Linked DNA regions of Saccharomyces cerevisiae S288C. The gene in region 1 interacts genetically with each later gene. Each region holds a gene or a part of one and is shown in the gene's direction. Other genes may lie near its edges.

What was found.
Region 2: mutations in HGH1 (region 1) and COG3 together harm fitness more than expected from each alone (negative genetic interaction), as found in Saccharomyces cerevisiae (3 studies listed by BioGRID).
Region 3: mutations in HGH1 (region 1) and HSC82 impair growth when combined (synthetic growth defect), as found in Saccharomyces cerevisiae (3 studies listed by BioGRID, with this or other methods).
Region 4: mutations in HGH1 (region 1) and YDJ1 together harm fitness more than expected from each alone (negative genetic interaction), as found in Saccharomyces cerevisiae (2 studies listed by BioGRID).

The regions. Positions count from the first base shown.
Region 1 is NC_001139.9:868,004-873,211, reverse strand, and holds HGH1 (Hgh1p), read left to right. Parts: upstream 1-1,795; coding exon 1,796-2,980; downstream 2,981-5,208. Other genes in the region: protein kinase BUB1, read left to right, coding at 1-1,168; transcription factor IIF subunit TFG1, read right to left, coding at 3,231-5,208.
Region 2 is NC_001137.3:481,016-489,652, forward strand, and holds COG3 (Golgi transport complex subunit COG3), read left to right. Parts: upstream 1-3,772; coding exon 3,773-6,178; downstream 6,179-8,637. Other genes in the region: GTPase-activating protein BEM2, read right to left, coding at 1-1,833; MYG1 (Myg1p), read right to left, coding at 2,310-3,326; YER158C (uncharacterized protein), read right to left, coding at 7,842-8,637. UniProt on the Saccharomyces cerevisiae protein: Acts as a component of the peripheral membrane COG complex that is involved in intra-Golgi protein trafficking.
Region 3 is NC_001145.3:630,446-639,063, forward strand, and holds HSC82 (Hsp90 family chaperone HSC82), read left to right. Parts: upstream 1-1,909; coding exon 1,910-4,027; downstream 4,028-8,618. Other genes in the region: RTP1 (Rtp1p), read left to right, coding at 1-1,525; YMR187C (uncharacterized protein), read right to left, coding at 4,244-5,539; mitochondrial 37S ribosomal protein uS17m MRPS17, read right to left, coding at 5,846-6,559; GCV2 (glycine decarboxylase subunit P), read left to right, coding at 7,055-8,618. UniProt on the Saccharomyces cerevisiae protein: Molecular chaperone that promotes the maturation, structural maintenance and proper regulation of specific target proteins involved in cell cycle control and signal transduction such as CNA2. Undergoes a functional cycle that is linked to its ATPase activity.
Region 4 is NC_001146.8:501,152-509,038, reverse strand, and holds YDJ1 (type I HSP40 co-chaperone YDJ1), read left to right. Parts: upstream 1-1,941; coding exon 1,942-3,171; downstream 3,172-7,887. Other genes in the region: tRNA 1-methyladenosine methyltransferase subunit GCD10, read left to right, coding at 1-263; MTQ1 (S-adenosylmethionine-dependent methyltransferase), read right to left, coding at 337-1,281; AQR1 (Aqr1p), read right to left, coding at 3,555-5,315; putative glucosidase SUN4, read right to left, coding at 6,262-7,524. UniProt on the Saccharomyces cerevisiae protein: Probably involved in mitochondrial protein import. Is also required for efficient translocation of pre-pro-alpha-factor. Involved in heme regulation of HAP1, as a component of the high-molecular-weight (HMC) complex.

The DNA.
Region 1 (5,208 bases):
AAAAAATCAACCGCCTGTCATTATTGAAAACCCACTTAGTAATAATTTAAGAGCGAAGTTTTTATCCGAAATTTCGCCCCCATTATTCCAATATAACACCTTTTATAACTACAACCAAGAATTGAAAATGAGTTCTCTATTGAAAAAAATCCATAGGGTATCCCGCAACGAAAACAAGAACCCAATTGTTGACTTCAAGAAGACGGGTGATTTATATTGTATACGCGGAGAATTAGGCGAAGGAGGTTATGCCACTGTATATCTAGCAGAATCTAGTCAAGGACATCTGCGAGCGTTGAAAGTAGAAAAACCTGCAAGTGTATGGGAATATTACATAATGAGCCAAGTGGAGTTTAGGTTGAGGAAGAGCACAATATTAAAGTCAATAATCAACGCTAGTGCTTTACACTTGTTCCTTGATGAGAGCTACCTTGTTTTAAACTACGCCAGTCAAGGTACGGTCTTGGATTTAATTAATTTACAACGGGAAAAGGCAATTGACGGCAACGGAATAATGGATGAATATTTGTGCATGTTTATCACTGTCGAGCTAATGAAAGTACTTGAAAAGATACATGAAGTGGGAATAATACATGGCGATTTGAAACCAGATAACTGCATGATCAGATTAGAAAAACCAGGCGAACCCCTGGGTGCTCATTATATGCGCAATGGAGAGGATGGCTGGGAAAACAAGGGAATCTATTTAATAGATTTCGGTAGATCATTTGATATGACACTGTTACCACCTGGAACGAAATTCAAATCAAATTGGAAGGCTGATCAGCAAGATTGCTGGGAAATGCGTGCGGGCAAGCCATGGAGTTATGAAGCGGATTATTATGGATTAGCAGGCGTCATACATTCGATGCTTTTTGGAAAATTCATAGAAACAATCCAGCTGCAGAATGGACGATGCAAATTGAAGAACCCATTCAAAAGGTATTGGAAAAAAGAAATATGGGGCGTTATATTTGATTTACTGTTAAATAGCGGTCAAGCTTCCAATCAAGCTTTGCCGATGACTGAAAAGATTGTTGAAATAAGGAATTTGATAGAAAGCCATCTGGAACAGCACGCAGAAAATCACTTAAGAAACGTAATTCTAAGCATTGAAGAGGAGTTATCACATTTTCAATATAAGGGGAAACCGTCAAGGAGATTTTAGTGAATAAATATGCCTTCATCTCCCGCATAGGTGACTTTTTGGTGTCCTGCCAGATTCCATAGCAATGACAACACAACTTCAGGTAGAGCCAATTGTAACATTAATATATAAAAGGTAATATAAAACTAGCAGGTTCTCAGGTTGAGTAAATATATTCTTTTTTAATCTTGACATCTGTCACTTATGGAAAAACAAGTACCAAAAAAATGGCGATAATGTTATGATATTATTTTACTGAAGCTCTTCATACATCGAGTATGTAGCAATTGCTCCACTTGTTACCGCGAAAACTAACAAGAATAAAAAATAGATGTCTTGATTCGCAATTCGCAGTATATTTCATCTAATAGCTGCAGAGCCAATTGGGATGTTACTGGTAGTGCTACCTTTCGATGTGTTCTGTTATCACCCCAGACGATAATTATTATTGTAGATTTTTCCCTATTCTTCCTCGAAGGGCTTTTTCAAATTTTTTTTTTTTTCATTTTTTCATATTGAGCTCTCTCATCTCATCCATCAATTTATGACGCACCTACTCTAATAACGACAAGTTTATTCTTCTTAAAACGGTATCAATTTAATTTAAAAATTAAAAATAGCTCAAAAAAATCAACAAAAAATTGAGTGATGACTTCACAATTGAATGAATTAGTGGAATTTCTGCATTCACCACAACCTGCCGTAAGACAGATTGCCATTGATAATCTAGTTGGATTTAGTGCTGGTCCCACTTCAAAAGTTTTCAAAAATGATAGCTACAGACCCATTAAGGATATAATAAAAATGATCATGGATCCAGAACACGGCACCCGTGTTATTATTCAGCAAGGTGTCACTATATTGGTCAATTTATCTGAAGACAAGTTAGTAAGAAATATTATATTGAGCGATGACAAGAAGTTCTTAAAATTTTTGGTTTGGAAAATTGTCGATTTAACCAATCCAAATGCCGATATAATGTGTATCTTATTAAGCAACTTAGCCAAGGATGACGGCATTCTTGCTGTTCTGAATATCAAAAGGAATTCAAGCGGTGAGGAGGTCGATGATGGTTTGAAGTTAGCAGCTTTAAATAAAGAAGTTTTCAAAAGTTTGAGAGCCATGGATTGTTTAATGGATTGCTTTGTTAAGGGTTATGATAAAAAATTAACAAAATATGCCAGTTTCAATTATTTAGCCTTTTTTTTTGCGGATATCTCGAGGTTTAAATTGGGCAGGATGTATTTTATTGAAGAGCAGGAATACGATGGGGTTGTTCCTATTTCAAAATTGCTAGTATTTACCGAAAAATATGATGCAAAGGTAAGAAGAGAAGGTGTCGCTTCCACAATTAAAAATTCCCTATTTGATTCTGAAACTCATGAAAGGTTACTCAAAGATGAAAAAATAAACTTGTTGCCTTACATCCTGCTACCTATTGCTAGTGCTAAAGATTCTGAAATTGATGAGGAAGATATGTTCAATTTACCAGATGAACTTCAATTATTACCAGAGGACAAGGAAAGAGACCCGATTCCTGCAATTATATGCTGTCATTTAGAAAGTATTCTTTTGCTATGTACAACGCATGCTGGAAGAGAATACTTAAGAGACAAGTCCGTTTATCCACTAGTGAGGGAGCTGCATAAAAACGTTGAGAATGAAGATATTGGTGAATTATGTTACAGAATTGTTAATATGTTAATGAGAGGCGAGCCAGGTGCGGGAGCAGTGGAAGAGATGCCATCAAAGAATGCGGAAGAGGAAGAAGAGGAGGAGAGTGAAGAAGAAGAAGATGACGACGAAGAAGATGAAATTGTCGAAGTGGCCTAGGTCACTTTCAAGGACAGTTCACATAGCATAGAATTGTATAATACAGAAATAACAATATATTAGAGTTTAGTAGAATTCTGAGTCTTTTCTCAAAAAAAAGGCAGAAAAAAAGACTAGATAAAAAAGTATACTTACTGCAACTAAAATGACAGTATAATGTAACTACATAAGATTAAATGGAAAGAAAAAGGAAAGAATGAAAAGAACGAAAACTAAATAACCTATTAAGTACATAACATTATAAACTAACCTACTCTTTCTTTAATTCCATGTGGTCATTGCCAACCTTTCGACACAATTTTTTTACAATGGCAAACATTAGCTTTTTATTCTCTGCGCCAGGATATTTTCTTCTGATGAACTTTCCAAACTCTTTGATATTGACTTTGCCATCACCAATAGCCTCGATGATATCTTTTTCTGTTATTGTAGGCGCTGGAGTTTCTTCCCTTTCTGCCACTGTAGAATTCAAGCCTTCCTCTTGTTTGATTGGCGAAGGCACTGTATTCGATGCATTATTACTACTATCTACAGCTTTTGTCGTCTGTGGATTCCATTCTCCCTCTGGGAAGCTTTTCAGTATTTTCTTATCCCCCTTCAAGATAATGACACAGTTTTTAATACTTTTCACCCTCAAAGTTGGCTCTTTATGCACATGCGCATTTGTAGCTTTCTTTTGCTGTTTCTTTGGAGAAGATCTCTTGGATTTGGATAGAGTGTCCGAATCTTCTTCCTTTTTAACGGGCGATTCATTCTCTTTGTTTTCAATATCGGATTCAGATAAGTATGGGTTGATCTCATTTTCATCCGATGAGTATAGTGCTGCAAGTTCTGTCTTTTGTAATGCCTTCTTAATTCTTTCACCATCCTCATCAATCTTCTTTTCCCCAAATAACTCATCTTCTTCGTTTTCGGAAGGAGCTTCTTCATCACGAAGCCCCATCGCATTAGCTTGCAGCATCTCCTTCTTGATTCTTTGTTCTGATTCTTTATTTTCTTGTTCATTACCATCTATAATAGGTGCCTCCTCATCATCGGCAAACTCTTCATCATAATCTAACTCTACTTCTGAATTGTCATCACGATCATCTTCATCCATAGCTTGTTGATCAGCGACGGCTTTAAGCTTTCTTCTTGTTCTGTCATATCTAGTTGTAGTTGTACCTATATTATCCAAATGCTTCATCAACCAACGTGGCACTTCACCACTTTTTTTGTCCATTCTTTTTTCTGCTTCGTCAATGGTCAAAGTAGCATATTTATTTCTTGCGGTAAACTTATAAACCTTATCAGCAGGAATCATGGTAAAACTTCCATCATCTTCTACACTTAACAAGACATAAGAATCTGAGTTACCTGCTTCATAAGAACCCACCCATGTATTGTACCCATCAAAATCTTCCATAACCCATGGATAAAATTCCTCAAATCTCAGCTTTTTGGCGTTCTCATCAAGAACTTTTAATTGACGAGTTTTCCTTCTCAAATTTCCTCGTTTGGCCCTACCGCCTCCATCTGGTGCCACATCTGCTAGTGGATCCATAGTTCCTTCTTCAAATTCCGGTTCGTTAGTCACTTCTTTTCCGTCGTACTTGACCATTCCAACTTTAGTAGGGTCTTCAGCTGGGCCTGCATCCTCTAGTTTTGTCACTAACGGCCTTCCGTTAGCTAGATTCGCTGTAGATGCATTGCCATCCAAACCGTTAGCTGCACTAGTTGAACCATTTGACAGTCCATTACTTTCAACGGCGGATACAGTAGTAGGACTAGCAGGAGGGACAGAAGAGCCAGTTACAGTAGGAATGGAGGAGTTCACACCGTTGGCCGTGTTGTCTTTAGTAACTGAATCAACAGTAGGTGTCTGAGACCCATCTTTAACAGTATTATTGAGCGAGACCGTTCCTGATTTATTCATACCACCCGAGTTAGGAGTACTTCTTTCTTGCTCTGCTTTTTTTTTATACTCAGAAATTTCTTTTTGCCTTTGAACAATTTCTGCTCTTGTTAGCTGAAACTGCAAGTTTCTCGTATCCTTCCTATGCAGTCTTACGGGAAGATGGAAGTCTGTTACAGGGTTTATCTTTTTTTTACTCTGAAACTTCAAAAGATGTGTCCTCATGTTTTCTAAATCCTCCTTTGGAATAGCTCTTAAGGGAAATTCATTATATTCATTAGGATCTTCGTCCTTTACTTTAACATTGCTCCTGCCAGCATCGGCCTCGACACCG
Region 2 (8,637 bases), on another chromosome or scaffold:
CCATACTTTATCAAACTTTAAATTGATATGATGAACTTCATCAGCCAATGTTGTAATGTCTAAAGACAGGAAATGACTTGGATCCAATATAATCTCTAATTCATGTGTAGATGATGTTGCCATTGGAAGAGATCGAGTGAATGCGGTAAGTTTCATTAATTCGTTATGTTTATTGGCGATTTTAATTTTCAAATTGTTGGAAATTTCATCGTTATGCAAAGATATAGTATCTAATAAGGAAATTATAGTCTTCAGCATTGGTTCATCCAGCAAAAATCCCGGAAATACATCAAGGATTGTTTTAGCAGTTAAAGCTAATCTTTGAGTCATGGAGTCATCGACAGCAGGGGATATGTTGTAGAATTGTGTGGAATTATTTGTCAATCTTGATTTATTCTTGGTAAAAGAAAGACCGAATTGGTTGAATACCTTTAGAAACTTAATGAAATGATCTAGTAATGGAAACATCAATAACAGATTAATAACAGCTCTATGTGTCTTAGATAATGATTTCTCATTAGGTACGTCCGATTGCTTTGGACCGGGGTAAAATAAGACTGTGTGACATAAACTTTCTATTGTGCCTGATATAATTTTACCATCACTGTCTTGTCTTAAATCTGGGTGCGGGTAAACTTCAGATAAATACTTCAGGTCCAGTGTAATAGGTTCACCCATTTGGCCAAATGATTGCTTTTGGTGCAGAGCTTCCGCTTGTGCTTGGTTGTTTGTTTGTTGTTTTTTCTGTTGATGGTTTTCATTTGCTATACTACTATTTGAAGCTGGTAAAGTTGGATCAAAAAACTTAATGTTACTATTCAAACCACTTTTGTAAAGGTTGAGAACGCAACCTTTCAATTGAGCCCTATAAAGACGGTAATCAGGTACTAGCATTTGAGGATCTATAGCCATGCTGCTTCTTGCTGAGGCCACATCATTGCCACTGTTAGTGGCCGTAGTACTACTGCTGTCATCATTTTTTAAAGACGAACCGTCGTTCCCATAAAACCTGCTTTCCCTGTTTCTAGAATACGCATCATTACGGAGATTCTGAGAGGAGGACGAAGAGGAAGAGGAAGGGGCTGTCATTGAGCTATTATAGTTTGTAGCAACAGTCTGGCCATGGGACTTATTAACCCATCCAGTCTTAAAAACAGTTGTATCATAGTTTTCAGAGTTTAAGTGGATAACATTTCTTTGCTTTTGCTCGTTATCGTTGTTATTATTGCTATTGTTATTATTAGTGCCGCTACTGTTACTGATACCTGAAGTGTTCAACGATTTCTCTAGCGTAGTTCCAGTGCTACATCGAGACTGAGGAGGTGATAAAGACGAGGAACGTGAAGGCAACAATGAGTCTTTCGAATGGGCACTCTTCTTGTACGCAATGGGAGTCTCATCCTGGGCATTGGACTTCTGGCTAGAAGAATTGCTTATTTCATCTTCGGAGCAGACAGACGGAGAATCGTCTTTTAGCGTAGAGGCTATGCTTCTAGAAGATCTGGTGTTAGTATCCGAATGATACATCCCCAAGTTCACCTGACTGGAACTAGTGGATGTGTACTGCTTGGAGGGTGGAAATACGGAGCTTTTTCTCTTATCTCTGTTGTTGTCTTCCCCTCTGTGGTGACTGTGTCCCTGGCCATGGTGATGGTGGGAATGCATGTATGGAGAAGCACCGCTTGTCGAGTTTCGAATAGTTTGAGAGGATGATGACGGCGACGACGACGATGCTGTAGACGCAGTAGTTGTCTTATGAGACGTGGAAGTTGAGCTTGAACTAGCACTGGCCGTTGAAGATTTCCTGTTCTTAGACCAGAGAAGACCTTTCATTAGACTCCTGCTTCGTTATTTGTTTTTTTTGTGTCTATCCAGAAAAGGCACGACGACCGTGTGTTCTTTTAAACTGAAACGTTTGCTTGTTTGTTCTGTTGGAAAAAATGGGACTGATCTGCAGTCTCCTAACCAAAGAGGGAAAAAAAAGAAAGAAAATTGCGTATAGCGGGAACGGGAGAATACGAAATCTGTATATTAAAAATGAAAAAGAATGTTTGAGTTAGCAGACAGTACCAGTGGCTGCAACGTAGCTTGCTTCTTTTGTTTTTGTTTTTTGTGCAACAAGAGCCGTCTGATATCTTGTGTTCTCAGGTCATTTTCAAGAGCGTGTTTCACCGAGGGGAATATGTTTCAGGATTCGCGGCGGGAAGATTTTTGCTTGCATTAAAGATTTACTTACTATACAGAATAAATAGTGGAATTGTTAAATATTATTAAATAGATAAGGGACCTGACTGAGCGCTCGCTCCCGACTAGGCCAAAGACATCTTAGCCAGCTCATATACAGCCTCTTTGGACTTGGCACCTCCAATGAAACCTGCTGCATGAATGAAGATACATCCTGGCACACCGCTCTTGGTGCTCAGCTCTTCGTCTCTGAGGCCTCTTAATGGCTCCGGCAAACCTCTCCTAAACTGGAAGGAGGTGGAGTTGATTGGTACAGTAGATACCCTCCAGGCACCAGAAGAGTCTGTGAAGAGAACAAACTCGATTTGCTTTTCAATGTTCTTCTCTCTTTCCAGCTCGTATAGATGCTCCTTCCATGGACAGAATTGGGGCAAGACAATGATTTTGCCACTCTTATCAACATCCATTCTTTCATCAATGGCTTGCGCCACAAGGGCCTTGGCTGGCAACCACGATTGACCGTAGCCTCTTACCAATGTGACAAAGACCCCACCGATAAACTCACTTGCGCGAGCAAAGCATCTGTCAAAAGACTCATCGGAAGTGTCTTCGTTCCAGTTAGGATTCATACCTGAAATAATCCCGGGAATGCTGATGGCGTTATCCCTGAAATTCGGTTCCAAGTTGGAATCCTTAGGAATCGTGTACTTGCTAATACCGTTGTCGTTTGCATCCAGTGCCTCGACAAATTGTTTGTATACCTTGTCATAGAGCAGATCTAAATCAGAGCTGCTAACCTTGTTGTTCAAAATTGTTTTGATAATGTCACGACCGTAGTGTTTGAAGATCAGACCAGCACTTGAGAGCTTAGTCTTGTATTTCTCGTTGAAAGTTTCGAAAAATCCACGCTGGTGGTGGTCAAAAAATTTCACGCCGTCATACTGAGCTCCTACATCCACTAGAATGTCACTAGCCTCCCAGTCCTTGGGATTTCTTGATCTAACCAACTTAGCATCTTTAAATTCGGGTAGTAGCCTTAACATGTATACCGCCAACGACTCGTCCGCGTGAAAAGATCCGGAATGCGTGCATATTTGTTTGGACATTTTTGAATTTAGCTTTACTCTTTTTACGCTATTCATGCAGACTTTTTGGGCTGGGCTCTTCAATTCCACAGCTTTTCGATAGTATTAACACATCATTACTTTCTACGTTGACAGAAAATTTTCGTGATTTGCCGTTCCCATCGCTCGAAAAGAAAGTGAAAAACTGAAAAAAATAATAGAGATTTATCAATGAATACAGTAATCCAAAGACGAGAGAAGAGCAGGAAAATTCGTACTTATATTGCAACTTAATGGTGGGCTCAGATTTTTCGATGCTCTGCCTCGTAACTCTAAGTATCAGCTGCGGATGGATCATAAGTAGTATTAATATAGAATATAGAGGCGCAAATTGAGGTTACCCTGTATAACGGCAGTCGTTGCGTCCATTGTTATGTAAAGTCTTGGCTTTATAGACACACAATAAATACTCCCAGCATGAATTGTTTTACCCAATATTGCACGAATTATCGACACATCCAAAGATGGCGAGAAGTAGAAAGAATTCATTGGTTCGAGATATTGCGTCTCATCCGACTATACCAGAATCTCAGACCATAGTGGGTTTACTGGACGATTCGTACCTTTTTGATAAGCTAAAAAAGCTATCTTTGGCTGTGGAAAATTCTGACAGTCTGCAAAGAACTGATGTCTCAGAAGGTTGTTCAGAGGTTAATGGTTCTGAAGCTACGACTTCTGCGGATGTAAAAAAGACAAACAAGTATTTGTATTATACTACCTATTTGGACCAGTTAAACATTAAGATAGACGAGTATAAAGTTGTTCTGGATCAAACACGCCAGGTTAACGATCAATTGGATAGTTCCATCAAGAAATTTCGGAAAATCTCTCAGGATACTGGAGCTTTCATTGAGGAAACGAAGACGATCTATGAAAAGCAGTCTAAATTAAGCAATCTAACTGAGTCAATCCCTAAAGCTCTCCATTATTTTGAAGTTTTAGACCCTATAATGCGTCGCTTGAACCATGCCACTTCTCCCGCTATTGTTAAGAAGAGCTCCTTTACGACAATGTTGGCGACTATCGACGAGTCTTTACGTTTTTTGGATGAGAATAGTGACCTCAAGGATGCGGCAGCGTACAGAATCAAGTTCAAGCAATGCTTGATCAGAGCCTGTGAATTGATATCTCACTTTTTAACGAATCTGTTGAAACAAACAAATCAAGAAATTTTGGATAAAACCAAAAACAAAAATTCGTTAACTGGGTTGCCGTCGACTACAAGAGACGCCTTCTTGTACAGTAAATTCTATACCATAGCTGATACTTTCAAAATTCAGGTTTCGGAAATTGTTAAGAGAAGCAACGAAAAAGCCTACAACAAGTATCACGATGAACTGAATTCCATTCTTTACGAGTGTTTCAACCACTATTTCCAAACACGTTTAAGACTGCTAACTCCGGTCATTTGGTCACACATTGATGAAATTGTTGTTAAAGATAAGGACCAGGGCTTGGTCAAATTCATTCAAGACGGTAAGGTTTATTTTCAGCAGTTATGCGCGGACGAATACAAACTTTTCGTAGAATTTTTCCCTGAAAAGGAATGTCGTTTCAAGATTAATCAGTGGTTCTTACAGTTATGTGAACCCCTTTATGACTCCATTAGAGTCAGGGTTTTGAAAGAGACAGATATTTGTACTTTGTGTGACTCAGTGACTTTGTTTGCTCCATATTATGAATTTGAAGAAGGTTCAGAAGAATACGTGAAGCAGTTTACCGACATTCAGTATGATAAACTATTCGAACCGATTGTCCAAAAAGTGCAGGCTAGATTAATTTTAAGAGTGCAAATATATGTCCAACAAAATATTTTGAGCTATAGGCCCACTAGGGACGTTTTCATGATTTCAAATAGAAGGAGAAAATCGAAGACCAGCTTACAAGGGGGTAACGAAGATGCTACTACTAGTGATGACAATCCAGATCCCTTGTTAGAATCTTATTTATCTTCTTTCAAGAATAGAAGCATATTGCCCATATCCCCTAATGATGCAGACGATAAAAGTATTGATTCAGAAGAATCTACTGATAAAATTTCACAGTTGCAAACATATTATCCGCCCTTGTTAAAGACTTTGGCTTTATTGTCCAAAATTTATGAAATGATCAATTCTGTGGTATTTGATGATTTAGCTCACCATGTAGTCCACGACTGTATTGTATCCTTGAGAAATGCCTATGATATGGTTATCAAATCTTCAGCGGGAAAATCTGATTTTAACAACTTAGATATTTCATTAGCGTACCTAAAAAATTTGTTGATGTTACGTGATTCCATACAGAACTTTAATATTCAATATACAGTTAATGAAACTTATCTGGATTTTTCTGGTGTTGAGGGGTTTTTCAAATCACTTAAAGAAAATGGTAGAAACGTTTTGAAAAAGACAAAGTCATCTTCAATATTGACCCTGGCAAGAGAGCTGGTTCCAAAAGTTGTAAACAATATGGTGGACGCCCGTACGGAACTCATATCTGAATTGAGAAACGTCATTAAAGATTTTACTGAAAGCACTTCTTTGGAGCTTATTGATGACACTTTAGATATCAATAGTGATGAAGATCTGTTAAGCAAAAACGTAAAATTAAGAGAGAATATAAAGGCCAGATTACCAAGAATATATGAACAGATATTGAACTATATCGATGATCAAGAGATTGTTACTAATTTATTAGACGCTGTGCAAGAGTTAATTACACAATCATATTCCAAATATTATGAAACTATAACTGAATTGGCAGAAAATGGAAAGTTTGCTAAGGATCAAGTCGCAGACGTAATGTACTTGGACGTCTTCACAGATTTTTTTGCCAAAGAGGTGGCGGATCTTTTAAGAAATGGTGATATTGATACCATAACGAAATAAACTTATGTGTAATTTCAACTTTTTCTATAATTTTCATGCATACATAAATCTGATATCGAAATAAAAATTACATTACACGGTAAAAAAAATGTTTTCAAAGCTTTTGATCGTAAGCGATTGAAAAAATATAACGAATACTCCGATACGGGGAGTCGAACCCCGGTCTCCACGGTGAAAGCGTGATGTGATAGCCGTTACACTATATCGGATTAAATTCATGAATTTTTTAGGGCTCCGAATATTGTAAATTCGTTAACAATTCAAGCAACTCATTTAAACAAGTAATCAATAAAGTCAAAATATATAAACAAATTAAGATCGCTGCCAAAGTAGTGATCAACCAAGAGACATTAAGGTTGTTATCTCGTGGACCACAACGCACCTAGATGCATGCAAACATAACAACAGTGGAATTCATTTGTTAGATTTGAATTTGCCTTAACATTGCGGTTCGTAAGTTTTCTAGGTGACAGATACCGGAGAAAGGTGAATCGAACTGTATCGTAATGTACTACTACTTACTCATATTTTTGGTTCAGTGGGATTTATTGACGTTAAGCTCACTTTTATCATCCTAGTTCAATGTAAAGATTTATGAGATTATTTAAAGAAGTTTTCAAAGTATTTGTATGATTAATAGTGTTGGAATAAAAATCAACTATCATCTACTAACTAGTATTTACGTTACTAGTATATTATCATATACGGTGTTAGAAGATGACGCAAATGATGAGAAATAGTCATCTAAATTAGTGGAAGCTGAAACGCAAGGATTGATAATGTAATAGGATCAATGAATATTAACATATAAAACGATGATAATAATATTTATAGAATTGTGTAGAATTGCAGATTCCCTTTTATGGATTCCTAAATCCTAGAGGAGAACTTCTAGTATATCTACATACCTAATATTATAGCCTTAATCACAATGGAATCCCAACAATTACATCAAAATCCACATTCTCTACAAATAGCCCTTCACCTTACATTGCACCACTGGTTGAACAGTCCATTTTTAAATCTCTCCCATTTTGTTATTGGTATAATGGGGCATGTAAACCTGTACGAGATCCCCAGAAATTACGATGTAAATACCTACATTGGTATTACAGTTTTTTATGTGAATTAAAATTTATCATCTTAAGATTATTACCACAGCACTATATTCTGAACATTATTCGAAATGATATAATTCAAATATTCCCTATCAGTATGTCCATAGGCGATAAAAATGTGATTAAGTAATTTTCGAGCCCCCGCGTTAAGCAAGCATCCATCAATAAAAACTTCATTAACACTCTTAGATAATCACTGTAAAAAATTCTAATTATCGGTTAAGGTTATAAAGTTAGGTAGCTGGTAAAAAAGCGATTGATCTCAGACATATCTTTTAAATGTTAAAACTCATCGCTCTTCAGGGAAATCTTACGCGCTATTTTTACAGTCGCGCGGGTCTTAACCATAATTTTTTACCGCTGCAAATATTTGAATGCTATAAGAGCAGATAAAAAATAGATTATAGAAATTAACCTGTTAAAACAATTATCCAAAATGTAGTAAGTATTTATCTTACGTAAAAAGTTCGATGCATATAAAATAAAATAGAATATATAAAGAGATACAACAGAGTCTCAAGAAGGAAAAAAGCTTGATGAACCCGTTATAAGTAGTAATGTGTATACTTAGCGCTATCCTGGTGAACGCGCATTTCCTTTCTTTTGAACTCATTCACCTCCATTTTGATTTCAATATTGGATATATTTTTTGTGGATGAGAGATTATTACCGACAAAAGTAGAAGGATTGGTAATGTCTTGGCTCTTTCCTTTAAAGAAATTATTCAAAAAGGTATTATCACACCTGCAATAGTCCGCGGCGGACCACGTATCGTTTACATAAATCTCATCCGCAAAGCGTAAGGATTTGACGGCATTTTTAGATTTCGATGACCCTGAAGAAGGGGCAGGTGTTGGCGAAGAAGATATGGATTGCATTGGTCCACGGGAAACCAACGATGACGAGGACGAAGAAGAAGGAGCCGGCGATGATATTGAAGAGTTTATGAACGAAGAGTTCGCAGCATCAGTAGTGGTAGAGAGAGAAGATGGCACAGAAGCAGTCAAAGGCAATTTGTTTAAATACACGGTAGACCATTCATCCTGCAAACGCTTTAAGAAAACGGTGCTCTTTTCCTCTGGAGCAATATCTTCATTAGACGAATCTTGACTACAGTAGTATAACTTTGTAGTTCGTTTATCAGACAGTGTAGGTCTGTTTGGTGACCTAGGGGGTGGAAGAACTGGTATCCTGTTATTATCTCCGAGTGCTGTCAATTCTTGTACTATGCCAGAGTCCTTAATTGAAGGTACAGCCGTTTCGTGATTGTTAACGGTTGAAAAACTCTGTTTTATAATTTCAACCGGTTGGTCAAGGGACGTTATCGGTTCTGGTACAACT
Region 3 (8,618 bases), on another chromosome or scaffold:
ACTGAGCCTTAACTTACTGAATTTTGAGCACGAGAAATGGAAGTATTTAATTGATCTTGATACTCAGCTACCCTACATATCGGTTAAAAACACAGATATGGCAGAGTTGTTTTTCGAAAAAGGATCCAAAAACTCTCAAATTTCTGAGTTTCTTCAAGATATGGACCTTTCGATAGAATTATTTATGGAATTTTTAGTGCTGCTAAATGATGAGGAACAATCAAAGACTTTATTTTTAGATATTCTGAAAAGATGGGTCCATCATACAAAAAAAAGTGAAAAAAGATCTTCCGATAATCATAGCGGGATGCCAAGCGTTACAGATAACGCGTTAATACTCATGGACTTGAAACTTTTGGAATGTATGAACAACCGATTTAAAACCAAGATTGTTAATAAACCTAAGGACGTTCTTATTGTTATTGATCAATTGATAGATGTTGTTCAGGAAAAAGATGAAACAATACAGGAAGTAGAAGCAGATTCTGACGACGAAGTTGAAGAAGGAGAAGAAACAGAAGAATTGGATCCAAATGAAAATTCTTCCTACAAAATTATCTTGCAGTTATTATCAACCGTCCTTTCAGAATCGTCCAGTAGTATATTATTGCAAAACAGTTATATATTGAAATCCATTTCTAGAAAATTACAATCTTTCAACACTAATGCTTCCGAAATAGATGCATTATTGGCATCAATAGATAATATATTGATTAACGGACATACTACGGAAAGGAACGACAACATAGAAATTGAGATGGATGAGGAAAGGCTTGACAAAGCGATAACTAGTCTACATGATCCTTTAGTGCCCATAAAATCTTATGGTTTAACAGAACTACGTCATCTAGCTGAAAAGAAGTCTCCAGTAATTTCACTGGAAAAGGTGTTGCAAATACATTTAGATTATTTAAAGAATATGGACCCTTTCATTTATCTCAACGTTATTAAAGGACTTACAACGCTATGTGAATTAGAGCCAGAAACCATATTGCCTCTACTTGCAGAATTTTATGCTAACAAAAAAAAGAAAAACAGATTAGATGATGTGCTGAAAGTTGGAGAAGTGTTCATCAATTACATTCAACGTCAGAACGAATTGTTCCAGGGTAAATTGGCTTATCTGATTATAGATACCTGTCTTAGTATTGTGAGGCCAAATGATAGTAAACCATTGGACAATAGATGGCGTATGTCATCCATGTCAATCTTAGGTATGTGCCTTCAAATCAACGCCAGGGGTGTCTCGGATAGAATTCGCGATATGCTGGATTGTGTATTTGGAATATTGCAATTAGAACAACCACAAAATCATTTGAAGGACAAGGATGATTCTTTTTTGATGAGAAGAAGTGCCGTACACTTGATACATGATTTGTTGTACAGTACAGGATTTGATTTACTTCCCTTTGAGTACAACTACGATAAGCTAAAAACACTATTATCTTACGTTCGTGATCAAGATGAAGATTACATGGTTTGTGAACAGATTGACAAGCTTTTAACCGTACTAGATAGTTTATAACCCATTACGCATTTGATTATAATTTGCTTCTTAGGCAAAATTAATATTTACGTTCTTTTATATTCTTTCTTTTTGTATTCATAGAACAGCAGCCATTACCAATAGAAAGTTAAAATAGCCGCCGATGCATTTTATTACCCGCCTTTCTGTTTTCTGGGCACTTTTCTTTCTAGAAGGTGAAAGAACAATTTTTCTCGTTTTCTCGAACTTCCACCAAGCGTTGGGTAATGAGGGAGGAGATTTGTATAAAAAGAGTGGCATGTGAACTGCCTACCGTAAGTGACATGAACACATGCATTATATTTTTTGTGATATATTCTTTCTCTTGTTTTCTTTTTCTTGAAACGCTACAGAACCAATAGAAAAATAGAATCATTCTGAAATATGGCTGGTGAAACTTTTGAATTTCAAGCTGAAATCACTCAGTTGATGAGTTTGATCATCAACACTGTCTATTCTAACAAGGAAATTTTCTTGAGAGAACTGATCTCTAACGCCTCCGATGCTTTAGACAAAATTAGATACCAAGCTTTGTCTGATCCAAAGCAATTGGAAACCGAACCAGATTTGTTCATTAGAATCACCCCAAAACCAGAAGAAAAAGTTTTGGAAATCAGAGATTCTGGTATTGGTATGACCAAGGCTGAATTGATTAACAATTTGGGTACCATTGCTAAGTCTGGTACTAAAGCTTTCATGGAAGCTCTATCTGCTGGTGCCGATGTATCCATGATTGGTCAATTCGGTGTTGGTTTTTACTCTTTATTCTTAGTCGCCGACAGAGTTCAAGTTATTTCCAAGAACAATGAGGACGAACAATATATTTGGGAATCTAATGCCGGTGGTTCTTTCACCGTTACTTTGGACGAAGTTAACGAAAGAATTGGTAGAGGTACCGTCTTGAGATTATTCTTGAAAGATGACCAATTGGAGTACTTGGAAGAAAAGAGAATTAAAGAAGTCATCAAGAGACATTCTGAATTCGTTGCTTACCCTATCCAACTTCTAGTCACCAAGGAAGTCGAAAAGGAAGTTCCAATTCCAGAAGAAGAAAAGAAAGACGAGGAAAAGAAGGATGAAGATGACAAGAAACCAAAATTGGAAGAAGTCGATGAAGAAGAAGAAGAAAAGAAGCCAAAAACCAAAAAAGTTAAAGAAGAGGTTCAAGAATTAGAAGAGTTGAACAAGACTAAGCCATTATGGACTAGAAACCCATCTGATATCACTCAAGAGGAATACAATGCTTTCTATAAGTCTATTTCTAACGACTGGGAAGACCCATTGTACGTTAAGCATTTCTCTGTTGAAGGTCAATTGGAATTTAGAGCTATCTTGTTCATTCCAAAGAGAGCACCATTCGACTTATTTGAGAGTAAGAAGAAGAAGAACAATATCAAGTTGTACGTTCGTCGTGTCTTCATCACTGATGAAGCTGAAGACTTGATTCCAGAGTGGTTATCTTTCGTCAAGGGTGTTGTTGACTCTGAAGATTTACCATTGAATTTGTCCAGAGAAATGTTACAACAAAATAAGATTATGAAGGTTATTAGAAAGAATATTGTCAAGAAATTGATTGAAGCCTTCAACGAAATCGCTGAAGACTCCGAGCAATTTGACAAATTTTACTCTGCCTTCGCTAAGAACATTAAGCTGGGTGTACATGAGGACACTCAAAACAGAGCTGCTTTAGCTAAGTTGCTACGTTACAATTCTACTAAATCTGTCGATGAATTGACTTCCTTGACTGATTACGTTACTAGAATGCCAGAACACCAAAAGAACATCTATTACATCACCGGTGAATCTCTAAAGGCAGTCGAAAAGTCTCCATTCTTGGACGCCTTGAAGGCTAAGAACTTTGAAGTTTTGTTCTTGACCGACCCAATTGATGAATACGCTTTCACTCAATTGAAGGAATTCGAGGGTAAAACTTTGGTTGACATTACTAAAGATTTCGAATTGGAAGAAACAGACGAAGAAAAAGCTGAAAGAGAGAAGGAGATCAAAGAATACGAACCATTGACCAAGGCCTTGAAGGATATCTTGGGTGACCAAGTGGAGAAGGTTGTTGTTTCTTACAAATTGCTAGATGCTCCAGCTGCCATCAGAACTGGTCAATTCGGCTGGTCTGCTAACATGGAAAGAATCATGAAGGCTCAAGCCTTGAGAGACTCTTCCATGTCCTCCTACATGTCTTCCAAGAAGACTTTCGAAATTTCTCCAAAATCTCCAATTATTAAGGAATTGAAAAAGAGAGTTGATGAGGGTGGTGCACAAGATAAGACCGTCAAAGATTTGACTAACTTATTATTCGAGACCGCTTTGTTGACTTCTGGTTTCAGTTTGGAAGAACCAACTTCTTTTGCATCAAGAATAAATAGATTGATTTCTTTAGGTTTGAACATTGATGAGGATGAAGAAACAGAAACCGCTCCAGAAGCTTCTACCGAAGCTCCAGTTGAAGAGGTTCCAGCTGACACCGAGATGGAAGAAGTTGATTAATCTCTTTTTTCGCCTTCATGTTTTATATATTATATAAATTTGTTTACTTATTTTTACTATTTGTAATAATGATTCTGCTTTACGCGCCTTTAAAAAAGTTGGTCTTAATGTAAACATGAACCATAGCACACAATTTAAGACATCAGCTGTCAAATGACCATAAAATTGTCCTACCAGCTGTCCTTAAAGTTTAGTGTACACTTACGAATGACTTATTTACTCACCTTTGCAACTTTGTTCAATAAATTCATTGATCTTTTCAAGTTCCTGACATCTTTTGTAACTGGCATAGAGCTTCAGACTTGACCAGCCTATAGCAGCAGTACCACAACCTATAATATTGAAAATCATTCTAAATTCCGAAGGGGAGCAATTCGGCGTCCATTCAATTTTAAACTTTCTCTGTATCCATAGAAAAGCATTCAATAGAAGACCTCCTGTACATTTACCAACAAAGGGCCATAGTATCTTTTCTGCAAGAATAGCATACCAATTCCGCCTGATAAAAAATTCCTCAGCTGGAACGCTATTACTAGAGTTTTCAAAATTTCCGTGATACAAATACTTACCTCCTTTATTGATCAGCCTCCTGTAAATTAAGTCAACCAATCTTTTAAAGGTAAAATTATAGCAAAATGTAGCCAAGTTAGAATACAAAATTATTTTAGGTAAACCTATACCCTTGTAATATTTGTTTCCAGCAGTTTTTACAATACTGAGATACACCCACTTAAAGAGTATTGCATTAGCACTGACGTTAGAAATGTTGCTAAGATAATGTATGAACCCATATATTATGATCGAGGAGGTTAAAGGAATGCTTAATAAGCCACGTTCAGTTTGCGCATATACGTCCAATGCCTTTGTAGTGCTGATGTTTAACATATTTCGTAGAACATTCTCAGGGAAAAGGCAGCGTAGTTGCCATAATCCAATGTCAAAACTTGTCTTTTCAGGGTTTAAAAGAAATAAACTAGTTATCCCTAATGGTATCACGTATCGTGTAATTTTTTGCCACTGATAAAACAGGGATAGTACAGAAGACTGGATGGTTACTGTAGGTCTTTTTATGAAATTTGTTTTCTTGCATTGAGGACATTCGCCAAATTTCACTAACACATAAGGTGGATGATTATCCCGTTTGGTATAAAGAGACATTAGATTGAACACGTAGTCATTTTGAAACGGTACTGATTTTTGCCCCCAAATGGGACGAGTTTCCCATATTTCTGTAAGAGAGAAAGTCGTCATAAAATCATGGTGCCCATCAACGAGACATTTTAAACAGGTGATTATAGGTAAATCAGCATCCTTTGGTAGGTCCACTGTGTTCGGAAGAAAAAGTTCAACATGCATTTGATAGAGCCATCTTATATAGCAGCGTTTATGAATTTGTAAGTTGCAACCGCACGTGTGCTGTAGCCATGTAGAGTCATATGTGGATTCTTCCAAACATATCCAGCATATGCATCTTTTTTTTATGAGAGATAAAAAAAAATGAGGTGGGGTCATATAAAACTTGGACTATTTCCTTGGAATTTTCTTGTTTGTAAAATCAGAGCAGAGCTCTTTTATTTACTTTTGTTTTTGACGATGGGGACGAGCGATGTACTCACATCTTCGATATCACTTGCCTGAAAATATATAAATGCGTTAAACGATAGAAAATCAAAAACATCGTTCTTTTCACTAGAATATTTTAAAGTCAAAACATAACACTTTACTATTTACGTAACGAAGTCTTGTAGTTGTATATATTTACAGAGTGTAGTGCTTTAGTTGAGAAAATATGACACTCGGCTTTCCTCTTTCTTTTATTTACTGGCTTGGTTGTTGCATATCCATCATGACGTGCTTTCTTAACAAATTTTTTTTGATGTTTTTTTTCAAGGTCAAAGGATCCTCAACACCATGATCCTTCAAAAATTGATCACATTTTAGATCATTCGACAACAATTCGGATAATCGCGTTTGAATACGATCAATGAGACTTCTTTGTTTCTCCAAATTAACCTCCAATCCAGAGATGTCTAACTGTAAAAGTTGCCTCACTGTTTCTTGTGAAAAATCTTGAATGCCGTACCTTTGTTTAATCTCCAATAACTCTTTCGGCGTTGACCCGCTAGATAAAGCATCTTGGATGGTCCTAATATCACGTAAAAGGGTTGTTTTTTCATTTAGTTTATTCTCCCTCACTGATCTTTTATCCAAAAATTCTTTTGCCTTTTGGGCTTCTTCTTTTGCAACGCTTAACTGAGCTTCTGATTCGTATAATGCAAATTGTTGACCCTTGTTTCTAATAATTTCTGCAATGGCAAAAAACTTCCTCTTTGAAAGCGGCCTCGTCGCTTCTATCCTTACTAAATCACCCTCCCTTGATATTTCACCTTCATCATGCACTAAATAATCTCTTCTATGAAATAACTCCTTGTTGATTTTCTTATTAAAGACTTTTGTTTCTACACGTACTTTAACCGTCTTTTGCATCTTCCCTTGGGAGACGACCAAGCCTAAAAAATTTTGGCGAGCCATTACAGTTTAACTGATCTTGATTTGACTTTTGAAATCTCTAACCCGAATTCAACTCCCTGAGTTTACTTCTGTTTGGCCTTATTTGTGGATTTCCTCTAACAGTTTGATGCTCGCATTGGTTTGGCACAATCCCAAATTGCTTCAGAATTCTAATCTTATGAAATAACAATCATGTTACCCGGTTGAATCGTTACCCGACATCTCTGACTCTTCTTGAGGTATAGACTCCTCCTTTTCGGAGTCATGACTCTCAGAGGAGTCATCGAAGTCAGCATTGAGCTGTGAAGGACCTTGATAAGCTAGTCGAAAGATCTCCAACGAATATAAATGGATGTATATATAGCAGGCTCGAGTGGCACAATTTTCTTCTCTTCAAGTTCCAGTGAATTAGTCTTTCTCGTGTGTACCAATCTTACTGTATTGATTGCTGCGCGATCTAACCATCAACTAACCACAGTTTATTGGAAAAACGTTTCCTAATACCAGGAAGATAACATGCTTAGGACAAGAGTGACTGCTCTCCTTTGTAGGGCTACTGTCAGGTCAAGCACCAATTATGTTTCATTAGCGAGGACTAGATCATTCCATTCTCAATCTATTTTGCTCAAAACAGCCGCTACAGACATAACGTCTACACAGTACAGCAGGATTTTCAATCCTGACTTGAAAAACATTGATAGACCGCTAGATACTTTTGCTAGACGTCATTTAGGTCCTTCTCCTAGCGACGTTAAGAAAATGTTAAAAACAATGGGTTATAGCGATTTAAACGCATTTATAGAAGAGCTCGTTCCTCCCAATATTTTGAAGAGAAGACCCTTGAAACTAGAAGCTCCTAGTAAGGGATTCTGTGAACAAGAAATGCTTCAACATCTAGAAAAGATTGCCAATAAGAACCACTATAAAGTTAAAAATTTCATAGGTAAGGGTTACTACGGTACGATTTTACCACCGGTTATACAAAGAAACCTGCTAGAAAGTCCAGAATGGTATACTTCTTATACGCCCTATCAACCCGAAATTTCTCAAGGTAGGCTAGAAGCGCTATTAAACTTTCAAACGGTTGTTTCAGATTTGACTGGTTTGCCTGTGGCGAACGCCTCATTGTTGGATGAGGGTACAGCGGCTGGAGAAGCTATGCTCTTGTCATTCAATATTTCCAGAAAAAAGAAACTAAAATACGTAATAGATAAAAAATTACACCAGCAAACAAAGAGTGTCCTTCACACCAGAGCCAAGCCGTTCAATATTGAAATTATTGAAGTTGACTGTTCGGATATCAAGAAAGCTGTGGATGTTTTAAAGAACCCCGACGTATCTGGTTGTTTGGTTCAATATCCAGCGACAGATGGTTCAATCTTACCGCCTGACTCGATGAAACAGTTATCTGATGCGTTACACTCTCACAAGTCTTTGCTCTCTGTGGCCTCAGATTTAATGGCTTTGACACTTCTAAAACCACCTGCTCATTACGGTGCTGATATCGTCCTGGGTTCCTCTCAACGATTTGGTGTCCCAATGGGTTATGGTGGTCCTCATGCTGCTTTTTTCGCTGTTATTGATAAATTAAACAGAAAAATTCCAGGTAGAATTGTCGGTATCTCTAAAGACCGCTTAGGCAAGACGGCCTTGCGGTTGGCCCTCCAAACAAGAGAACAACATATCAAGCGTGATAAGGCAACTTCAAATATATGTACCGCTCAAGCTTTACTGGCTAATGTTGCTTCGAGCTACTGTGTTTATCACGGTCCTAAGGGCCTACAGAATATTTCCAGGAGGATATTTAGCTTAACATCAATATTGGCAAATGCCATCGAAAATGACAGTTGCCCTCACGAACTAATTAATAAAACATGGTTTGATACTTTGACTATAAAGTTAGGTAATGGCATATCCTCCGAGCAGTTATTGGACAAGGCCTTGAAAGAATTTAATATCAATTTGTTTGCCGTGGACACCACCACTATTTCCTTGGCTCTTGATGAAACAACTACAAAAGCTGATGTTGAAAATCTACTAAAAGTGTTTGACATTGAAAATTCTTCGCAGTTTCTTTCTG
Region 4 (7,887 bases), on another chromosome or scaffold:
TCAAAGAAACTTTGTTGGAATTAGCTCATACTTTATATTCAGACCTCAGGTTTTTAGCACCATCAATTTTGGAAACTAGATGTAGGCCGTACCAAAGTATAAGGGGTAAGCTACACCCTCTGATGACCATGAAAGGTGGTGGTGGATATCTAATGTGGTGTCACAGAGTCATCCCTGCTCCTGAACCTGTATCGGAAAACGCGACTGCAGCTGACTCCAGTGAAAAGCTTGCTGAACATGGAGCTAAGAAACAAAAAATATAAATGTCCACAGAGTGTTCCGTTTGATAACTTCCAACAAAAAAACCTGAGAATATATATATTTACATTTATATACTTAGTTGCAATTAGCTTTGTGCCCACTGAGTGCGGTTGCTAAATGTCTTATAGTCCCAAAGGATGCAAAAATCTGGTGTAGTATTCGCCCTTTGGGAGTGGCCTTAAACCCATATACGACTCTTGCTTTCCCATTCGAGTCATATTTCAAACCAATAGACCAAATACGGCTGAGATATGAATCTTCTTTAATGCGCCTCTCCACGTAATTAAACTGTTCAACGTCTCCAATCTCATAAAAGAAGGAGTCTGTCTTCGGCAGCCAATAATTTACTAGATTTATATAGCATTCAAGCTCACCCACTAGCGCTAGCCTTGGTTCGAACAGCTTTACGGAAGTTTTAACATCTCTATTGAAGTCACGCTTTCGAATGTAGGGGGGGTTACCGGTTAATATATCTATATGGGATGGATATTCATCGCTAGCTTTTGAGGACAATATATTATGTTGCACGAGCTTACCACCACTCACCTTGTTTTTCAGCATATTTTCTTTAACCAACTTAATTGCTCTTGTTGACACGTCAATGGCAGTGAACGTGCAATTTGCTATACCATGACTCAAAGCGAGAGCAATACACCCTGTTCCTGTAAACGTATCACAAATATGCAGTGGTATAGTATGCCTTGAAAGCATAGAGTTGTTTAGAGCTCTTATTATGGCCATCACCCATTCCTCGGTTTCCCATCTTGGTATAAGAACACCAGGCTTGCAAACTATGTCCAAGGCCCCAAACGGTTGCGATCTTAAGATGTACTGCAATGGGACGTGTTTGTATCTCTGTAAGCAAGCCCAGCGGATTGATTTATCCGGAGGCAGCTCTTCGGTGAGCCATTTGTACTCGAGTTTCGCTTGCTCGAGAGTCCTACATTCTGGAAGCAAAAGATGCAAACCAGGTCGTATTCTCGAAGCTTTTCTTATCAATGATGTAGATATTCGAGGCATATGTTCTTTCTAACCGTTTCTTTTTCGTTCCTACCATTCAACTATCGCTCCTTGTCTACGAGTTAAGGGGAAGAGAGTGCAGAGTTTCTAAAAGCACTTGAAAACGTAACAAGACATTGACCGTAGAGAGTCGGCAAAATAAAGTCGTTTATACACGTTTGAGTTGTGTGTATTCAACTATGGAATACATTGTTATAATGAGTATGTTGGTATAAAATAAGATGTGAAGTCGCTGGTTTGAGCACGTGATATACACCTGACCTATAATATTTCGTACAAAATTATAGAAGGCCATCGAAAAAATAGAAAATTTTTTCATTTCTTTTTCAAGAAATGAAAAGGCAATAGAGCATCGGCAGGTATGGAAAGTATTTAACTTGCAGATCAATCCACGTACTTATAAAACGTGTAAAAACTTGCTCTACGTTTATATGTTGGTTAGGTAGTTCTTGTTTGATAAGGTGTGTAGTTCGTTTTTATAAATCAAAGTCACAAAAAGTCCTTTTCCCCATATATATTAGGCCCGAACAAGCGTCTTATTTGATAACTGTTACGTATTTATTTTTTTGTTATTTGTTACCATATCTTTTGATAGAACATAATTAAAAATTATCCAAACTGAATTCTACATCTTCCAACAACAATAATAAACGTCCAAAGATGGTTAAAGAAACTAAGTTTTACGATATTCTAGGTGTTCCAGTAACTGCCACTGATGTCGAAATTAAGAAAGCTTATAGAAAATGCGCCTTAAAATACCATCCAGATAAGAATCCAAGTGAGGAAGCTGCAGAAAAGTTCAAAGAAGCTTCAGCAGCCTATGAAATTTTATCAGATCCTGAAAAGAGAGATATATATGACCAATTTGGTGAAGATGGTCTAAGTGGTGCTGGTGGCGCTGGCGGATTCCCAGGTGGTGGATTCGGTTTTGGTGACGATATCTTTTCCCAATTCTTTGGTGCTGGTGGCGCACAAAGACCAAGAGGTCCCCAAAGAGGTAAAGATATCAAGCATGAAATTTCTGCCTCACTTGAAGAATTATATAAGGGTAGGACAGCTAAGTTAGCCCTTAACAAACAGATCCTATGTAAAGAATGTGAAGGTCGTGGTGGTAAGAAAGGCGCCGTCAAGAAGTGTACCAGCTGTAATGGTCAAGGTATTAAATTTGTAACAAGACAAATGGGTCCAATGATCCAAAGATTCCAAACAGAGTGTGATGTCTGTCACGGTACTGGTGATATCATTGATCCTAAGGATCGTTGTAAATCTTGTAACGGTAAGAAAGTTGAAAACGAAAGGAAGATCCTAGAAGTCCATGTCGAACCAGGTATGAAAGATGGTCAAAGAATCGTTTTCAAAGGTGAAGCTGACCAAGCCCCAGATGTCATTCCAGGTGATGTTGTCTTCATAGTTTCTGAGAGACCACACAAGAGCTTCAAGAGAGATGGTGATGATTTAGTATATGAGGCTGAAATTGATCTATTGACTGCTATCGCTGGTGGTGAATTTGCATTGGAACATGTTTCTGGTGATTGGTTAAAGGTCGGTATTGTTCCAGGTGAAGTTATTGCCCCAGGTATGCGTAAGGTCATCGAAGGTAAAGGTATGCCAATTCCAAAATACGGTGGCTATGGTAATTTAATCATCAAATTTACTATCAAGTTCCCAGAAAACCATTTCACATCAGAAGAAAACTTGAAGAAGTTAGAAGAAATTTTGCCTCCAAGAATTGTCCCAGCCATTCCAAAGAAAGCTACTGTGGACGAATGTGTACTCGCAGACTTTGACCCAGCCAAATACAACAGAACACGGGCCTCCAGGGGTGGTGCAAACTATGATTCCGATGAAGAAGAACAAGGTGGCGAAGGTGTTCAATGTGCATCTCAATGATTTTCTTGATAAAAAAAGATCAACTTATTCACGATTCATTTATTCATCATACTTTTCACTTCAAAATACAGTTTTGTAGCTATACATATGTAAAGTAATAATGGTAGAAAATGCAGTTTACCAAAAAAAGTTCTAATTATGACGAAATCTTAAGGAAAGAGTAAAGCAGGGATTATATGCTGAAATTTCCACTGTATATATTTGCCACAGAAAACCATTTTTTGTATTAGGTATATTTAGTGCACCTTTAACATGTCAATAATTCAACGGAAAATTAACGAAGTAAATAATACATTAATTAGGAAAAATTTACATGAAAGTCTATAAGCTGTTTATAAAAAAAATATGCAGGGATAAGTGTCTATCAAATTGAAGAATGCCAATTAATTATGATTATCGTTCTGGTCTCTTTTTGTTCCCTTTTTGGCTTTGACTGCCAAGGTGTTTAACCAAGACTGTCTTTGTTGTTTCAATAATCTATCCTCCCTCCACTTCATACCATATTTCATCGGAATAAACATTAAGAAGTTGAAGAAAAATACCAGCGCACATAAAAATGTAAAAGTACCACCTACAGTCATCGCAGCTTTCATTTTGGCAAAGCAACCCATGAAGATGGTACTCAAACTGCACCTAACAAAGTTGAAACAACTACTTGCTGTAGATGATTTCGTTGGGTACAAATCGACCAATAACGTAGTTGATGTTGATAATGTACTCATAGCACAGTATGAACAGACAAATGAAGTAATTAAAATAGATTCGATCCTCCAGCCCTTATCTATACTCCAACCAAATAAAAGATAGGCTACGACGGCCAAGAAATTTTGGGGCAGAAGACAAACTAAACGGACTTTGAACATATTAATCTCTGCGTCTTGTGGAATCAACCCGTTAGCTTTGTCTTGCTCGAATTTCTTGATCTTTCTCTTGAAATACATGTCAATAATTCTACCTGTGAAGAAGGAACCCATTAAACCGCCAATACCACCGGGTAGATAACACACACCAATAATGACCAAATGATAGTTGTATGGCGCCACTGATAAACCGGATGAAATAGAGGAAAGCATTAACGTCCACATAGCAAATAAGAGCCCTGATGGAAATAAAGACAGAATAATTTCTGGCAATACAAGGATCTTCCCGGCGGATGACAAATCTAGTTTCGGAATGGTGGGATCTAATGTCTCATAATCAGGATTATCGTACTTGAATCTCCTTCTAACTGGGCCCAGTAGGAAAATCGGCGCTCTGTTGATGAATCTTTTAGGCTTAATGGAAAGGTTACCTGCAATGGTTCGCTTTGTTTCTGGCAAAATAAGAAAGGCAATTAGAAAACAACTTCCACAACCAATGGTCAAAAACCAAAAGATAGCTCTCCAATCCCACCTTGCAGTCAGGACGGCACCAATAAGACTACCAAAACATTGACCCAGTAAAACAAACCCTGAGGTGGCGCCAACAAATGTACCTCTTTCATGCTTCAAAGTGAAGTCCCCGACAACACCAGAACTGATTGCAATTGTGGGGGAAATACCAATACTCTGAATACACCTCAAGAAGATAATAACACCGTATGATGGAGCACATGCTAGCCCGATGGATGCAATAACGTATATCAGCATACCTGCTAAAATTATAGGTCTCCGTCCAAAGCAATCCGCCAGACCACCGCTAACTGTGGGAGATATACCTTGAAACAACAGATACACAACCACAGTAACGTTAACCATATTTTCATCCACATTAAATTGCTTTTCCAACTGCCTCAAAGCGGGATAATAGATCGGTGATCCCAATGAAGACCAAAAGCCACACATTGTTAGAATTGCAACCATTCCCCACTTCTGACCGTAACTTAGTAAAGTATATGGCGCTTTTGTCTCTGCAGTTATCTGTTGGGTTGGATCAACTTTATCATCACTGGAGTGAGAAGAAGTCTCAGAGTCTAAATCGCCTTCTATTTCCCTTGTGGTAGTCTTGGATAGAGTCCCGTGACTGTTGATATAAGCGCCTTCGAAATTTAGTTTTTCACTTTTCGTTTGACCATCTGGTTTTGTGTATTCTCTCGTCAGATGCTGCTCATTGTGAGTAGGATACATCTCAATATCTTCTGTGTATATACTGTTACTTCGTGACATTGCTGATTCGACTTTCTGAATCTAGCTTGGATTCTCAAAAAAATAAATTTATCTCCGTATAAATGCTAACTTTGTAAGCCTGGAAAAATCCATAATTTTATATAGAACGACAATATTAGCAATAAAAAGTTAGTAAAAAGTGTATAACCTTGACAGTGTTAAGCGTTATATAATATTGAGTATGATCAACTGTATCCTCGATGAGGGCAGAGAAGTTTCTTTTTCCTTGCCCTAAGGTGCCCGCAACTTCCCGGTGACGAGAAAAAGAAACGTTGGAACGGCTTCTCGTCTGAAGAAAACAATGCAGGCCGGGCATTTCACGGAACAAAAACGGTTCCATCAAGCCGGGTGATTCATAAATTATCCGATACCGGAACAAATCGGTGAGAGATTTTCCGATGGAGGACGGGTAACGAGCCGGTATTTACCGATCTATGGAGTTTCCGAGTCATTACGGGTCCTTTTGTTTTCGTGTATGCTCCCTTCCCCGTAAGAAGTATACGTAGGAAGTGCGGTCTGCGCTGGACAGTATAAAACGGAAACAGGAGTCATCGAGGGGCTCCGGATTTTTTTTTCTTTTTTTAGCATTTAGCCTAATTGCACATTGTGAATAGATTGCCGTAGTAGAAAAAAGCCTTAGGAGTAGATAGCATACGGCAACAGAACTACAAAAAAAAAAAAAAGAGATTTGATGTCTTTTTTTTTTTTTTGGGTGGTTTTTAGGACAATGAAAGAAGAGGTGTGCGATGTATGTAGGTTTTCAAATGTCTTTAATATTACAAAATAATTTATGTCTGGAAGAATGATAAATAGAAACAAAGTAAAAAAAAATTGATATTAATCCGGCGTGGGTTTTAGTGTATGTTAAACAGACAATAAAATGGACGGGCAGAAAAGAATGGGGTAATAATACAATCAACTTACTCAACTGTTGATGCGCCTAAGTTTAGTTGTATAGAACAAACTTAGCTTTGCCAGCAGTAACGGAAACGGTACAACCGTCAGAGCCACCGCTGAAGCTACCGTTTTCATAGATACATTCACCGTTGACTGTAGAAGAGTCATCAGCGGCGACAATTTTGACATTGAAATTCAATGCGTTACCGTTGTTTGGGTTGGGAATCAAAGAAAGGTAGGCGACACCATCAGAAGAACCAGCGCCAAAGTTCAATGGAGCCCAATTACCGACGCCTGAACTTGAAGAACCCCAAACACAAGCATCTTCGACAGAAATACCGGCATTGTTAACGTAGTATTGCGCGGATGTCTTCAATCCTTGCCAAGTGTAGTAGGTGTCCTGATCAACGACAGTCAAGGGTAAAGAGTCACCTGCTTGCACATATGTAGGAATCACCATGTTTTCGGTACCCGGGTAATCGGTCCTGCAGATAGCAACATCGTTGCTCAATTCAGAGACGACGTAAGCGGCATCAACGCCCCATTCGCATAAATAGTCAGTATCTGTATTTGAACGGTACAGGTAGCCGTCCTTACATAGCAAACCACCAATGGATCTGCCGTCAGATGGTTGGTCAGAAGGCCATTGTGTCTTGGACATACCTGGTTGGCAAGCGTATGAGCAGTAAGACCCTTCTTTACAAGAGCCACCCGTAGAAGTGTCAGTATTTTCAACACCAGACCAGCCACCTTCATCTAACCAGCTGATGGGGATAACACCTTGACCAGATGGAAATTGGCCGCAAGGAATGGTACCGTCTTCAAATTTTTCATATGGACCTGAAAAGTCAGCCAAATCACCGTAGATACTTCCAGTTGCACTGGAAGCTGCTGAAGATGTGGAAGCTGACCCAGATGTGGAAATAGGCACAGAGGATTCGCTAGTAGAAGTTTCTGAAGATGTCAGAGTTGTTTGAGCCGAAGACGAGGTGGTAGCGATTTGTTCAGTACTCTCAGAAGAAGAAGCAACTTTGGAAGAAGACTTGGTGACCGAAGATTCGGAAATCAGAGTAGTAGTGGAAGCAACTGTAGAAGAGGCTTCAGTTGAGGTTGGAGTGACGGTCTGACCATTTTTATCGACAGTGACTGTTTCGTAAACGTATGTAACTGCAACGGCCCTCTTATGCTGGTGTGAACCATGAGCAGTAGTAGTACATCCTGTGTCAATATCAGCCGCATACGGCAAAGCGGAAACGATTGTGCTATAACCGATCAATGAAGCCGCGGTAAGAGTGGTGGCGGACAGTTTCATTTTATCAAATTACTAAAATAAATTTGGGATGGGTTAGTAAATAAAATCATTGCGAAAAGAGTAGGATTGCAAATTTTCTAAGATTAGTGCTAATTGAATCAATCAATATTGTTTTAGTTTCTACAATGGCTATATCTCGAGAAGTCAGAAACTTATTTTCGCGCCGTAAATCCGACGGCCAAAAAAGCCAAAAAGAAGTTGTGCACGGAAAAATAACGGGCATGTAAAAATTTGCTTTATTCTCGAAAAATGACGATGCACCGAAGCGAAAAAAGCACAGCAATTTCGTAATCAGTGGAATAATTTGCAAACTCAAAATATAGTAACATGAAAGGTCTTATCATTAAATTAAACATACGACTT